Arabidopsis thaliana: one gene and its partner. The protein of the gene in region 1 purifies or fractionates together with the protein of each later gene. This does not show direct contact. Each region holds a gene or a part of one and is shown in the gene's direction. Other genes may lie near its edges.

The links.
Region 2: the proteins of CHC1 (region 1) and ARP4 purify together in Arabidopsis thaliana (affinity purification with mass spectrometry; 2 studies listed by BioGRID, with this or other methods). This does not show direct contact.

What each region holds. Positions count from the first base shown.
Region 1 is NC_003076.8:4,566,440-4,574,343, reverse strand, and holds CHC1 (SWIB/MDM2 domain superfamily protein), read left to right. Parts: upstream 1-3,349; 5' UTR 3,350-3,470; intron 3,471-3,879; 5' UTR 3,880-3,899; coding exon 3,900-5,431; intron 5,432-5,575; coding exon 5,576-5,648; 3' UTR 5,649-5,864; downstream 5,865-7,904. Other genes in the region: MPL1 (Myzus persicae-induced lipase 1), read left to right, coding at 1-131, 233-352, 1,426-1,566, 1,664-1,774, 1,878-2,021, 2,118-2,158, 2,245-2,324, 2,411-2,506 and 1 more; AT5G14160 (F-box family protein), read right to left, coding at 5,877-6,610, 6,687-7,011; AT5G14150 (Emb:.1 protein, putative (Protein of unknown function, DUF642)), read left to right, coding at 7,691-7,751, 7,846-7,904. UniProt on the Arabidopsis thaliana protein: Involved in transcriptional activation and repression of select genes by chromatin remodeling (alteration of DNA-nucleosome topology).
Region 2 is NC_003070.9:6,346,305-6,353,994, forward strand, and holds ARP4 (actin-related protein 4), read left to right. Parts: upstream 1-1,743; 5' UTR 1,744-1,894; coding exon 1,895-1,907; intron 1,908-1,996; coding exon 1,997-2,088; intron 2,089-2,203; coding exon 2,204-2,368; intron 2,369-2,445; coding exon 2,446-2,519; intron 2,520-2,594; coding exon 2,595-2,675; intron 2,676-2,765; coding exon 2,766-2,826; intron 2,827-2,963; coding exon 2,964-3,013; intron 3,014-3,155; coding exon 3,156-3,210; intron 3,211-3,415; coding exon 3,416-3,493; intron 3,494-3,570; coding exon 3,571-3,624; intron 3,625-3,698; coding exon 3,699-3,752; intron 3,753-3,821; coding exon 3,822-3,882; intron 3,883-4,037; coding exon 4,038-4,089; intron 4,090-4,437; coding exon 4,438-4,504; intron 4,505-4,629; coding exon 4,630-4,692; intron 4,693-4,776; coding exon 4,777-4,839; intron 4,840-4,935; coding exon 4,936-4,998; intron 4,999-5,093; coding exon 5,094-5,158; intron 5,159-5,246; coding exon 5,247-5,315; intron 5,316-5,416; and 3 more. Other genes in the region: AT1G18440 (Peptidyl-tRNA hydrolase family protein), read left to right, coding at 1-28, 99-183, 405-472, 586-636, 722-795, 975-1,033, 1,117-1,193, 1,269-1,382; AT1G18460 (alpha/beta-Hydrolases superfamily protein), read left to right, coding at 6,378-6,418, 6,988-7,161, 7,250-7,655. UniProt on the Arabidopsis thaliana protein: Involved in several developmental processes including organization of plant organs, flowering time, anther development, flower senescence and fertility, probably by regulating the chromatin structure.

The sequences.
Region 1 (7,904 bases):
TTTCCCTCAAGACCCTTGAAGCTCGTGGAACCTTCGGCAGGCTTGCCGGACAGCCACCGCAGAGGACTGCTGCCGGCGGCATATGCGCTTCTTCTGTTCACATATTTGGTTACAAGTGCGAAGAACATGATGTACGTACGACATTCTTTTTTTTTCTATATAGCTATTGATGATGATTACTCATCGATATATTAACTGATAAAGCTGCTATTTTAATTGTTAAATTATGAAGGTGGTGACTCAAGATGGGTACATATTGAATATGCAAAGGATACCGGAAGGACGAGCCGGAGCCGTCGCCGGAGATGGGGGAAAGAGACAACCTGTCCTAATACAACATGGAATTCTTGTCGTAAGTTTTACTCTTCCTTACCTTTTTGCATCGCCTTAACCGTCAATTAACTTGTGTATACACACGCATGCTACTTTTATGTGCAGATAATTATTGTGATAATATCAAACTTTGTTCCAACATGCATGAAATACATCCAAACTACAAAGTCTATTATTAAAAACATATATAGCTGTAATTAAACCACTGCATCGCACTCGGAATATCTGATTACTACATTGAAGCTGTTTTCCATTACATAAATTTTTGAAAGTAAGAAAAAGTGGAAAGTGACGTCAAGGGATAGTGAGAAAAACATTATTAGGAGAACATTTTATACCCGTTTTCAGAAGTTATACAAATGGAGAATATGTGCATATATTATTTCAAGATGATTTACATCTATAAATAGACATATACACGTGGGCCAAAACCAAACGTGTATACTTCCAGTGGATGCCTCATCAACAAGTATGTACATACATATATATATATATATATATATATATATATATATATATATATGTACATTTATCCTTATATCGTATGTGCGTGCGAGTTTGAAACTTACAAGTAAGATTAATTAGATTAATGTCTGTATCTTTTTTTGATAAAGAATGTGCATATGTGTTATCTTAGTGGTGGTAAAATTAAAACATTAAATAAAGAGACAGCATGAGTGTTAAACATGTGTGTCCAACAAATAAAGTGATAATTGGAGCGTTACTAGAAAGGTAATTAAAATAAACTCAAGTGATAAACAACTTTTCTGGTATGGAAGAATGATTGTACCGTACGTAAGTGATATTATATAAATAACCGTGTCGACTCTCGACTCTGGTACTCATCGAATTCTTAAAAATCATCGATAAAGTGCATAAGTACAAAACTTGATGAGATCAGTACTACTATTTTCATCAGCCTGCTAGAAAGAAAATACTTTATGACTTGCCTTATGTTTTAAGTTTTATGTGGACAGAGACGACAGTCGTACGTATGCAGAATTGTAATTTGTCTCTTTGACAACATGGTCCTTTAATTTCTTATAGTTTACATTACTATGATAGTCAAATAATCATGAGTTAAATGTGCAGGATGGGATGTCATGGCTGTTGAATCCAGCGGATCAAAATCTGCCGTTGATTTTGGCGGATCAAGGATTCGATGTGTGGATGGGGAACACAAGAGGGACTAGATTCAGCAGAAGACACAAGTACCTTAACCCTTCTCAACGGGTCTGGTTCAGTGAACCACTGTTTTAACCAGTAGATTACGTATATATCTTTACTAAGGAAACTGATATTTAACATCGTTGGCACGTTGTGGACTTAGGCTTTCTGGAACTGGACGTGGGACGAGCTTGTGAGTTACGATCTGCCTGCTATGTTTGACCATATCCATGGCCTAACAGGCCAAAAGATTCACTACCTCGGACACTCTTTGGTGGGTCCAACGTTATCAACATATTTTTTCTCTGATTTTTTTCTTTTTCTTATAGTAATATATCTTCTCATAATAGAATGAAAAATGAAATGGAAATTGTCAGGGGACGTTAATAGGATTTGCTTCGTTCTCAGAAAAAGGGTTGGTGGATCAAGTGAGATCGGCGGCGATGTTGAGTCCCGTTGCTTATCTCAGCCACATGACCACCGTCATCGGCGATATCGCCGCAAAAACCTTCCTCGCCGAGGTCCCTAGCTTCTCCCTTGTAATACCCTTTTTTATTCTTATACAAATATGTGCCTACAGTTATGAAAATAACTTGTTTATCGTCTTTCAAAAATAGGCCACCTCTATTCTTGGATGGCCAGAGTTTAACCCGAAAAGGTAAATCTTCACCCTTTTTTCTTAAAATATGCTTGTTATTATTGGCTTGATTTGATTACGTAAAATAGTTAAAACAACATTTGCAGTGGATTAGTAGGGGATTTTATAAAGGCTATATGCCTTAAAGCGGGGATCGACTGTTATGATTTAGTCTCTGTTATCACTGGTAACGCTACAACTAAAAAAGTCCACCAATCTACCATTGATGAATTAATTACATATATTAATTAACGTAATTTTACAAAAACATAGGAAAGAATTGCTGCCTTAACGCATCAACCATTGATCTGTTCCTTGCCAACGAACCTCAATCTACTTCCACCAAGAACATGATCCACCTTGCTCAAAGTAAGTGAAACAAATTCCCATTTTTTAAAAATTATTTTATAAACCTTAAATTGTTCAAATTATTTATTTGTAGCGGTAAGAGACAAGGAGTTGAGAAAATACAACTATGGAAGCAGTGATCGCAACATAAAACATTACGGTCAAGCGATACCACCGGCATACAACATATCGGCGATCCCACACGAGCTTCCGCTTTTTTTCAGCTACGGTGGTTTAGATAGCCTGGCTGATGTGAAAGACGTTGAGTTTCTCCTTGACCAGTTTAAGTATCACGACATCGATAAGATGAATGTGCAGTTTGTGAAAGACTATGCTCATGCTGATTTCATCATGGGTGTTACTGCCAAAGACGTTGTTTATAACCAAGTTGCTACCTTTTTCAAACGACAAGCTTGATAATATTATTACCTTGTCATTAGTTTATGTAATTGCATGTGCCCATATTCTTCAATTGTTTCCCTCTAAACAAAATGGGCAAAAATAAAATTAAAATTTTTATGAAAAAGTATACCAGTCTACTAGCTTCTAATTAAAATAATCCCAATATTTAATTTAGATTTTTTTTTTCTTTAATCTATAAACAATGGGGCAACCATTATCTAATTTACCCTAGTTTTAGGTATATTTAAGAAAGAACACTAAAACTACAGATTCGTATTTGACAAAAAAAAAAAAAGGAAACGAAAAACTATAGTAAAACAAAATTATGTGGAATGCTTTTCTTTTTAATTTTGTCGTCAAATTGTATGTGGATTTGTCGTTGAAAAAAAAACACATGGATTAAAGTTGGGCCAGTTTGATATAACTCAATGTGGGCTTTAAAAATACGGGTCGGGTCTTAACCCGGACAGTAAAATAGATAGCTCCGGTGGGCATTTGTTTTTGTTTTCTCTCTCGAGTCTCGACAACTGAGAAGCAACGGAACACCGGTGAATCCCGGAAAGAAGGTGAATCAAAAAAGCAGGTACCAAGCTGCGAATCTTCGTTTTTTTAAGGAATTCTCGATCTTTATGGTGTATAGGCTCTGGGTTTTCTGTTTTTTGTATCTCTTAGGATTTTGTAAATTCCAGATCTTTCTATGGCCACTTAGTAGTATATTTCAAAAATTCTCCAATCGAGTTCTTCATTCGCATTTTCAGTCATTTTCTCTTCGACGTTGTTTTTAAGCCTGGGTATTACTCCTATTTAGTTGAACTCTGCAGCAATCTTAGAAAATTAGGGTTTTGAGGTTTCGATTTCTCTAGGTAACCGATCTATTGCATTCATCTGAATTTCTGCATATATGTCTTAGATTTCTGATAAGCTTACGATACGTTAGGTGTAATTGAAGTTTATTTTTCAAGAGTGTTATTTTTTGTTTCTGAATTTTTCAGGCTGATAGGTTTATATAGCAATGTCTGGTAACAACAACAATCCACAAAAGCCTCAAGGCTCTGCGCCTTTGCCTTTTGGGAATCCTGGGATGGCCTCTGCATCTGTTCCTGGAAACCAAGGTTTTGCTCAGTCTCATATGGCAGCTAACTTTCAAGCTCAGTTTCAGTTCTCTCAAGCTCAGGCCCTAGCCCATGCTCAAGCACAGTCTAAAGTTCAAGCACAACTGCAAGCTCAGTTACAAGCTCAAGGCATGACGATGAACCAAGCACAAGGTTCTCCGGGGATTGGTGGCTTGGGTCCTTCTTCTCCTTCTTTGACGACTCCTGGAAGTTTAAACATGAAGAGATTCCAGCAGAAACCGCCGATGCGACCTCCTGGTGCTCCTGCGAGTAACAACACTATCTCCCCAATGAGAACAATGGAGTTAACTCCTGCTGCTCGGAAAAAGAAACAAAAGCTTCCAGAAAAGTCATTGCAGGAGCGGGTGGCTGCAATCTTGCCAGAGTCTGCCTTATACACACAACTTCTGGAGTTTGAGTCTCGGGTTGATGCTGCGTTAACTAGAAAGAAAGTTGACATCCAGGAAGCCCTTAAAAACCCTCCCTGCATACAGAAGACTCTTAGGATCTACGTTTTCAACTCGTTTGCTAACCAAAACAACACGATCCCTGGGAATCCTAATGCTGACCCGCCAACATGGACTCTTAAAATTATTGGTAGGATACTGGAAGATGGGGTGGATCCCGACCAGCCAGGGTTTGTTCAGAAAGCAAACCCATTGCATCCCAAATTCTCGTCTTTCTTCAAAAGGGTTACAGTTTCCCTGGATCAGAGGCTGTATCCTGAGAACCCATTGATCATATGGGAGAATGCTCGATCACCTGCTCCTCAGGAAGGCTTTGAGATAAAGAGGAAAGGGAATCAGGAGTTTGCTGCTAGTATACGGTTGGAGATGAACTACGTCCCTGAAAAGTTCAAGCTTTCTACTGCATTGATGGATGTTCTCGGGATTGAGGTTGAAACCCGCCCAAGAATCATCGCTGCAATTTGGCATTACGTTAAGGCGAGGAAACTGCAGAACCCAAATGACCCCTCTTTCTTCAACTGTGATGCTGCACTTCAGAAAGTTTTTGGAGAAGAAAAGTTGAAATTCACTATGGTCTCTCAGAAAATATCTCATCACTTGTCGCCTCCACCACCTATTCACTTAGAACACAAAATCAAGCTCTCAGGAAATAATCCGGCCGTATCAGCATGTTACGATGTGCTAGTGGATGTACCCTTCCCGATCCAAAGAGATCTGAACAATTTGCTAGCCAACGCAGAGAAGAACAAAGAGATTGAGGCTTGTGATGAAGCAATATGTGCAGCCATAAGGAAAATCCATGAGCATAGGAGGAGGCGGGCATTTTTCTTGGGGTTCAGCCAATCGCCAGTTGAATTCATAAACGCCCTGATCGAATCTCAGAGCAAGGATCTAAAGGTCGTTGCGGGAGAAGCCAGTCGAAATGCTGAGAGAGAACGTCGATCAGACTTCTTCAACCAACCTTGGTAAGCTAATCATCTAGACTCTGCTACTCTGGCCTTTATTCGCACAGATGATATGTATTAAGAGTTGTAAAATGTTTTTTTTTTTTTTTGGTCAAAGAGTTGTAAAATGTTTCTGAATCATAATTTGGGGTAAAATGTTTGCAGGGTCGAAGATGCAGTTATACGTTACTTGAACCGGAGGCCAGCAGCTGGGAACGATGGGCCAGGGAGTTGGTGAGTTTCTTGACGATACAAGTCTCTTCATCTGTTTGAGCATTTTTAGTAGAAGATATTGTTGAGATTAGTCTGGTTTAAAAGTGAACTAGTGTATCTGTAATCTTGTGTATGTTGAAACATTACTACTTTATATAATTAGCTTTGTTTTGTAGCCTTTGCGTTAATGGTTAAGTCATGTTTTTATTAGCAAAAGGAAAATAACATTGGCATTATTAAAAAAAAAAAACACTTAAAGTTGAACAAAAACGAAAATGTTTGGAAAGAGTATCATTGTGAAGTAAGAAGTGGGGAAGAGCCAGCGAGCATTAGAGAATGGTCTGGAGGAGATAGAAGAAGACGAAAGGCGTTGAACCTTCTGGGAGGAGAGATTGAAGACGAAGACATCCTTTTGGCTAGATGGAAGACCGCTGAAATAGGTGGAGTTTCTGGTAATACCTTGGATATCGGAGGATGCTTGCACGGTGATACCTAGATCCAAGATCACGGCCTGGTCGCCACGAAAAAGCCAGGAAAGGTCACGACGTTTAAGAACGCAGCCAACCATCAAAAAATCTCCAGAGATGGTGATTACTATGTTGGTCTTCCAGTCAAGATAGTCTGTCCAAATTGTATCATAAGGGCTAAAAGATCCCAAGCGGAAGCGAAAGGGATAGAGCTGAACATGAGCAGTTTTTGTTACAAACTTCAAATCCGAGATTCCGATGCTACCATCCTCATAGTAAATGTAAAGTTTGTGGTCCTTGAGGGCAATATCACTACACCCCAACAAAGGAGGAATCTGGCGCCATTCACAATCGCCTTTCTTGCAAAAGGCTGCATGCTTGTCTCCACCCCAGCTGCAAGCAACTACGTAGTCTTTAGTTTTCTCGTCTATCCACACAACTGCCTTATCAGTACTAGGGTATCCCATCATCTCGGCTTTGCTTGCAAAATGACCTTTTCTGTAGAGTACGCTGAAAAGAGCTGGTCACGTTGAGACTCGATAGCTACTAGGTTAATCCTCTCCAAATTTAGCACATTCACAAGATATAGATTTAACCGAGGAGCCAGGTGCCGCAACTTGCAAGGCAAGGATCCACACCAAGGTCTTGAATTGTGTAAACGTTTTCTTCTTCCTGTGGATTGTACAACATGCAACTGCGTCTGATTTGTGCTGGATCAGGGAAAAGAATTAGCCACGGAACCTGATTAGGTTTGGAGACACAGTCTCCCCAAACCCTACACCAAGTGGAACAAACCGCCCTAGCTCGATGAAAATCCGAGAGTCTCAGCCGTCGCAGAACCAATCTGATCACATCCTCAGGAAGCTCCGACCAATCCACCCCCCTAGAATTGAGAGCTTGACGTTTGTGAATCAAAGCCATATCTAAAAGTCGTCACAAACTGCACTCTTTTTACTTTTCTAAAGCCAGTTATGACGAGGCAATCTAAACCAAATCAAATTCCAAATTCAATCAGGATTTGCTTTTGATACGTAGTAATCATATACAGTATATATGTTCGAGAAAAAAACATAATAATTTATGGCAAAAATATTTTGGTAATTCCACAAGTATTTAGTAGGTTATTTCATTTCGTGACTTTTGTTTTTTACGATTATGCAATGTTTTGTATGTCTTCAAGACTGCTTAAAAATAATAATTCGGTCAATACACCAACCACTAAGAGTCTAAGAGTGAGTTAAGAGTTAGGTTGGAGTAACCAAATTAAATAGAACATTGTTCACACTCTCAATTCACCAACCTTTTGTTTCCTGAAATGTACAAACACTAGAACCAGATCCAAAAAGACACAGTTCTACTATATGGATGATGGCCCTGGCTTCTTCAAACCATCTGTGTGTTTAGTCTTCTCATTTGTGCACAACTCAAAGACAAGTCCACTAAGGTGAAAGAGAATTATTAATATATTTATTAATGATCAACTTTATGCTAACATGTTACAGCATCATTCTTCTCGTTAAATATTTTACTAATTAATAGACACATTCACTGGATCCAAGAAGCGTTGACGTTCAAGGTTTTCTTTGTAGTTTGAAGCAAAATGGCGATATGGTTTCAGAGAATTTTCCTGTTGCTTCTCGTTTCCTGTTGCGCCTCTTCAGGTACATTGGAATCTCAAATGCTTCGTTATATATTTGTTCTTTCATCTTCAGAACTCAAATTGATAAACTAAAGTTTGTACATTTTGATATGCAGATTTTTTGGAAAATCCAGACTTCGAATCTCCACCGTTAAACTTACCTACAAACTCAAAT
Region 2 (7,690 bases), on another chromosome or scaffold:
CAAGAAGTACCAGGGCACGCGCCACAACGTATGTCTCTCTCTTGCTTTCTCACTTTGCATTTTCCTTTTCAGCTCGGTAACGTGATCATGAATTGCAGGTTGGTTTTGAGATGGTGGACGCTTTGGCTGATGCAGAAGGCATCTCCATGAACACTGTTAACTTCAAGGCCTTGTTTGGGAAAGGTTCTCTTTTTCATTCTCTTATCTTCTCCATTGTGAATTTTCATTTTGAAATGGTTTTCTTATCTCAAAGTTTGAAACTTTCAAATTTCATACGTCTCAAATGTTTGATGAGGGTGATAGAAACAATGGCTAACTGTTTCCGGAGAATGAATATTGAAATAAATATCATTTTCTGTCTCTGGTTTGTTTCTAACTTTGGGTATTGTTTTCCTTTATCATAGGCGTTATTGGAAATATACCGATTATGCTGGCTAAACCACAAACTTTCATGAACCTAAGTGGTGAGTCTGTAAGTGAGCTCATCGGAAACAAACTTTGGTTTATTTAGTTAACCAATCTCTTTAACTTTTATCACTTGTTATTTTGATTCTTTCTGTTTATGATTGCTGGAATTCTTTGAAGGTTGGACAAATCGTTTCATTTTACAAGATCCCGTTAAAGCAAGTACTTGTGGTATACTTAACCTTCTCTCTCGCTTACTCTCCAAATTCTGGCTCTAGAGTGCATATGCCGTCTTAATTTTTTTTGTCTTTTTCAGGTTTACGATGATTTAGATTTGCCCTTTGGTAAACTACGTTTATTGCCAAAAGGTGGTCACGGAGGCCACAATGGGTACAATGCTTTTCACTCTCTATCTGGCCTGTTGATGTTTTCATTTGTGTTTTAACTTTTAAGTATTGTCTTACTTTTTACTTAAGAAGCAATGTGGATGGATAATAGTTTGCGGTTTCACTATCAAATCATAGAGAAACTCTACAAGAAAACATGATGGGTTGTTCTTTTACTTGCAGGATGAGAAGTATTATAGACCGCCTCAAAGGTAGCCGTGATTTTCCTCGACTAAGAATAGGTACAGTTCTCATTTTTCTCCACTCCGACATATCTTCCCATTTTCTTCTCTGGTTTTGCAAATTGTCGAATGTTTCATTTCAGGGATCGGACGTCCTCCAGGGAAGATGGATACAGCCAATTTTGTTCTCCGCCAGTTCAATAGACAGGAACAGGAAGAGGTAGAAGCAGATTTATCCCATAATTATCTCAAAAAATTTCAGAAAGACATAACCTGATTGTTTTTGGTTTTGCAGTTGGATCACACATTCCAAACCGGGTTAGAGGCAATAAGGATTCTTTTGCTTGAGGGGTTCAACAAAAGTGCAACATTTGTCAACACTCGAAAATCTATGGAGCAACTCAGTTAGAAGTGACATTGTTACATTACATATATTCATATAACAAACTACAAAGTGTTCTTGCTGATTCATTAATAATTTTTTTTTGGTTCCATACTTGAATCCTTTTTGAGCAAATTGTACATCAAAAGATAACCAGATTATTTGTTTATCATAATTTCTATTATGTAACTCGAAAATATGGATTTCAGTATTTGTTCGGCTGTAATTTAAATTATACACTTTCATTAAGCATAGACATTTTATTTGGCAATAAATCAGCTTCGTTTACTGCAAAAAGGGTGGTCACAAAAGTTGGTTCGGTTTAGAAAAATTGTGTTCGGTTCGGTTAGTTTCTTGAATAATTTAAACCCGACGGATTAAATGAGAGGTTTTGTGGTCCCCACAACTCGAACTCAGTAAAACCAAGTCGACCCGATTCAGCTGGATCCGAGATTACAGAGAACCCCGTCCCGTGTTTAAACCCTCCGGCGACAAAGCTCAGATAGAGAACCGCTCCACCCTTGTCGTTCGCTGCAGCCATGTACGGCGGAGGTGGGTTTCTCTTTAAACCCTTGAATTGCTTTGTCGTTTATCTTTTGAGACATTCCTGAGCTGTTTTTTTCCGTGGTGGGTTTTCACAGATGAAGTGTCAGCTATTGTGGTTGACTTGGGTTCGCACACTTGCAAGGCTGGTTACGCCGGTGAAGATGCTCCCAAGGCCGTTTTCCCTTCCGTAAGTCTTAATTACCAGCATTTTATGTCACTATAAGCTTAATGGTGTTATTGTAGATTTGCTCAAGTCCCTTGTATCTTCAGACTCTTAGTTTTTTTTTTGATGTGTTCATAAGGTTATTGGGGCAGTAGATGGTGTAGAGGCAATGGATGTGGATGTTGATTCTACAAAGACTAATTCGAACTCTGAGGATTCGAAGACCGAGTCTGAAAAGGAAAAGAGCAAACGCAAGCTCTATGTAGGATCTCAAGCCATGAGCTACCGCAGAGATCATATGGAGGTTAGTTTTTCTCCTTGATTAATGTTAAAGTTTATAACTTTGTTGGTGAAATTACAGATTGCATTTTCTCTCACCAGGTTTTGTCACCTATAAAAGATGGCATCGTTTCTGACTGGGATTTGGTGGACAATATATGGGAACATGCTTTCAAGTAAATGTGTAAAGCATTATATTTTCTCTTAATTGTTGTTTGCATTTCATCTCTAAAAAAACTTTGTCTTTTAAGGAGTTGTCTGATGATTGATCCTACGGAGCATCCAATGCTGCTAGCTGAGCCTCCTTTAAACACTCAACAGCAGAGAGAGAAGTATGATTTATCTGCTTTGAAATATCCTTTATTACCACTGTTGCTTTATCTTGGTGTGTTACTGATTTTCTCAAATCATATGCTTGACAGGGCGGCAGAGCTAATGTTTGAAAAGTACAAAGTTCCGGCACTGTTTATGGCTAAGAACCCTGTATATTCCCTCTCCCTTGGGTCATCATTCTTTTTGATAGATTATTATATGACGTTCACTGTAATGTTGATATCCAGTCAGCTCTTGTGTAATCAGATGTCTAACTATCTACATGAATTTGGTGTTTTTGGTGCTAGGTTCTCACGTCTTTTGCTACTGGGCGTGCTACTTCTTTGGTTGTTGACTGGTAAGACTTTAAGTATTAAAAGTTTCTCTAGTATGTAGAAGCTACTAATGTTCCACTTCTGCTCTATATGCTGTGAAAGTCTACCTTGTTCTGTATGGTGTATAATTTGAGAAGCACTGATGACACTTTATTGTATTTCTAGCGGTGGAGGATCCACAACCATTTCACCGGTGCATGATGGTTATGTTCTTCAGAAGGTACTTGTATTACACGATTTAGTAAGAATTCAGCTTTGTGATGCTGTTTCTTTGGGTTTGGATTTTGTACTGCAGGAGAAAGTTTCCCATCTCTCGTTTCCATAGTCATCTGTAGCTGCTATAAATTCTCATCCATGTGAATTATGACCTACAGCATTGATGTAGATTGTGATTCTCCGATTGTTGACCATACTTTTATTCGCAGGCTGTTGTATCGTCTCCACTTGGAGGGGAATTTCTCACTGACTGCCTACTGAAAAGCTTGGAGAGTAAAGGAATTAAAGTAGGTTAAAAAAATTCTTCACTGTTCTTTTCTTTTAAGCCAAATTATCTGAGTGATACTGGTTATTTTTTCTGCAGATAAGACCTAGATACTCTTTCAAGAGGAAGGAAGTACGAGCAGGGGAATTCCAGGTGCATATGTGGATCAGTGAATGAAACTACTAGCAGTGAATAGTCTCTAATTTCCTCCCTTTGAATCCTTGCAGGTTGAAGATGTGGATATTCCTGACACCACGGAAAGCTACAAACTCTTCTGCCAGGTCTGTAATTGATTATGAAACTTCGTTTGAAAATTTCAGTTGTGATAATTTGGTGATTTGTTTCAACAGAGGATGATAGTGGGTGATATCAAGGATTCCATTTGTCGAGTTCCTGATACTCCCTATGACGGTACCTTATGTTATTCTGTCTGTCTCTGGTTTCATAAATTTGTTTTATTTCAAAGTTTAAAGTTGCTTGAGAGTTGAACGTTAGATACTTTTTATCTTTCAATGTCATTTGATCGCATAGCCTTAGTTTTTCTGATGTGATGCATTTATCTGCAGATAAATCATATTCAAACATCCCTACTACGTCGTACGAGCTTCCTGATGGCCAGTAAGCTCAGTTTATATGTCTATTTCGGTTTATTTGTGCCTCAAATGTACATGCTACTGTTGCTTTTGTTTTCTACGTATAAGGTTTGAGCTTAGTTTCTAGCCAAATGTACCACTGCTCTGAACCTTGTTTAAGCTGAGATAAGTGCTTAGTTGGATCTGAGTCATTAAAGCCATTGGGCATAAAAGTTTAGAAGAGTCAGACATTGCTTTGGAAACCTGCATGGAACCTAATGTTCATAATGAGAATTAAGTTAAAAGAAAAAGTGCTAGCTTCATTGAAGACAGGAAGCTGCACCTGTAATTTTTGTAGTCTTTCTCAATATCTTATTAACCATGTCTGTTGAAGGACGCTCGAGATTGGTGCTGATAGGTTCAAAGTTCCTGATGTGATGTTCAACCCGTCCATAGTCCAGGTACACCATTTGAGCACGATAAATTCAACAGAAGATTCTGAAGACATTTTGTTTCTTATCTTGAGCGTTTTGAGCCTCGAATTATTTATCAAAGGTTTCTTCTCCGTTTTTATTGCAATTTGCAGACGATTCCTGGAATGGAGAAGTATGCTGAGATGATTCCTTCCGTTCGTGGGTTACCACACATGGTATATGCATGGTATTTAGTCATTGCAAAGCTTCCATCTCTTAACTTTTTCTAACTTTACTCTCCATTTTACTGACTTGTACAGGTCATGGAGAGCATCAACAAATGTGATGTAGACATCCGGAGAGAGTTGTATAGTAGCATACTGGTAAAATAGCAATCAATGCCAACTCTTAAATACCCCTACTTTTAGTTTCGTTGGATGTGGATGATTAACATTTCCTTTCTTCTCGCATTATGCCAGCTTGCTGGTGGCACATCGTCAATGCAACAGCTGAAAGAACGTCTCGAAAAGGACTTGATCGAAGTATTGTGTCCTAAACTCTTTTCCTCTGTCTTTAAAGCTATCCCAGTTTTTATGATGGCGAAAATCATTCATTGGTCCCTCTATCTTTGTTTCAGGAGTCTCCTCACTCAGCTAGAGTTAAAGTGTTGGCAAGCGGTAACACAACAGAAAGAAGATTCAGGTCTGGATTTAGTGTTCACTTCTTCCTCTATAATGAGACCCAAATTTTTTTGCTTGGATCAACCAACAAACATGTTATGTATGTGCAGTGTATGGATAGGAGGGAGTATATTGGCATCACTAGGCTCATTTCAACAGATGTGGTTCTCCAAGTCTGAGTAAGTCTCTGTTCTGATTTTCCATTAATCAGACTCGCAAAGAAACTATAGTTTGTTTTCTCTCCTGACACTCGGATTTGGGGTCTTGGTGTAAATGGCAGGTATGAGGAACATGGAGCTTCCTACATTCAGAGAAAATGCCCTTAAAGCAGGCAGTTTCAGATTATGTGGAGTCTGACAAGACGAAACTTGGAAACTAATGTGTTATTTTCATTGTGCATCGTTGTTCCTTGAAGATTATTAGTATTCCGCCTGAACCTTTTAGAATGAGTGTCATTAACAAGCATTATAGTGCTATTTTAAAAACATAAAAACATGTGGAAGAAGTTTCGTTGCTTTATTAGATTTTCGCACAATCAAGACCGTCCACGTTTTGTTACTACGAACCAAGATAATCCACAAAATTAACAAGAAAATAACAAATCCGAAACTACAAAAAGCAGCTTCATAAGTTTTCTTTTTCTTTTTTAAAAAAGAAGAAAAAATCAGCTTTATCGTGCCTCTCAAAAAGCTAATGACTTCGAAGTTCCAAAATTCCGGTCTTCGAACATATTTTATAGAATAGCAAAATGTTTTGAACCACAAGATTATTAATAATATAAATAATGTAATTGATATTGGTAAGTAATAATACTTTTATTAATCATAAAATGGTCTGAATAATAATAAAGACAAAATGGACGTAACTTCTCCGCCACTACAGACTTACGTGTCATGTCTCCATATCCGCATGCAAAATCCAATAGATGACACATTCTAAATCATCCAATTATATACGCCCACGTGTCAACCTCTGTCTCGTCTCTCTAAATAACGTTTACCGACCTTCTCTTGTGGACGGTAAGAATCGCCGGCGTCCCCTAATATATCGGATTTCAATCCAAAGACACACTCACAATTTAAAAAAAAACGTTTCTTTTCTCTTCGATTCCCGATTACGGCTTTTGATTTTGTGGGACTCTTCTCAGTTTTTCTGGGCTTTTGGTTTTTGGATTCTATCTTCTTTCATTTTTCAGATTTTTTATTTTATTTTGTTGTATTTCTATATTGGGAAACAAAATCATGCAGAGGATCGTCGATAATGCTCTTGCTATCACAAAAGAGTGAGTCCCTCTCTCTTTTCGATTTCACCATTAGTCTGTGCACGCTTATTGATTTTGTGATTTCTGATTTGTTTTTTTAGTTGCATGTTTAGTGGTTTTAGTAATTTGATATGTGATTTCAACTGTTTTGTTTCCTTAATTTGGATTTTAATTCGATTAGATTTTCTCAAATAGTAATTCGATTTGCTTTAGATATGGAAGTTGCCAAATTTTGAGCCAGTGGTTTTATAGTGGAGCTAGGAGCTAAGTCTATATCTTATATCTTCTGATTTACATTAATCTTGAGATTTAGTGGTATATAGTTTTACTAATTTGGGGATACATTTCTGATTTACCATTTTTAGTTAGTTGTTGAAGGTTTGTTGTCTCTTTGAAGAAAGTATACATATTGACTCTTTGTCCTGTAATAATTACAGCGATTCTCGTTGTATCTGCGGATAGTTTTCTTTGTTTAATGCTTGTCTGTTTGGGTTTTTGGTGTTCGTTGTGGGTTTTTGATTGGTATTAGGATTGTTTGTGTTAGTCTAAAATAGTTTTAAGCTAACTAATGATTTTGGTTTTTAGTGCAGGTCAGTGAAAACTCTGACTTATGAGTCTTTGAACAACATTGCAAGATGCATTAATGGATTTTCTGCGCTTCTCTTGACACTTTTGCCCGGAAAGTCCAATGTTCTTGAAGGTCTTCATGGATGGGAGCTTAGGCCTACATTGCGTGGACCTCGTTTACCACGCTGGATGCATAAGTAAAACTCTCTTCAACTCTCTAATACTTCTTTGTGGTTACCTTATAGCAGCTTATTCGACTCTCTTTTGATTTCTGTGGTTTTGCAGTGGAGTCTCTTCTTTCAACCACTTCATTCACGAACTCTCTGTGGATTCTGATACTTCTAGCTTGGACTATTCCTCTGGTGATGATGATAGTGATGGCATGTCCACGCCTCCATCACCCTTGTCTCAAAGCTCACTCCGCTCTTGGGCTAGTCTTCCTGCCAATTACGAAAGCCATTGGACAGACTGGATAACCTTCATTGTCTGGTGGGCTTTACTACCTGCCCGGATCCTTCTATGGGTACCATTATATCTTTTACGTCTTTTAGCTAGAAGAAATTCAAGAATGCAGCCTCTGAGCCCAGGAAGGTACCAACATTCGTCTAGACCTTGTTTTAGCAAAGCTATCTCAGGGAAAGAGCATGACGTGCCCAACCGAACTACTGATAAAAGACGCGGAGTCATTGAGGTTAGTGTTGATGGGCATACTTAAATCACATTTCT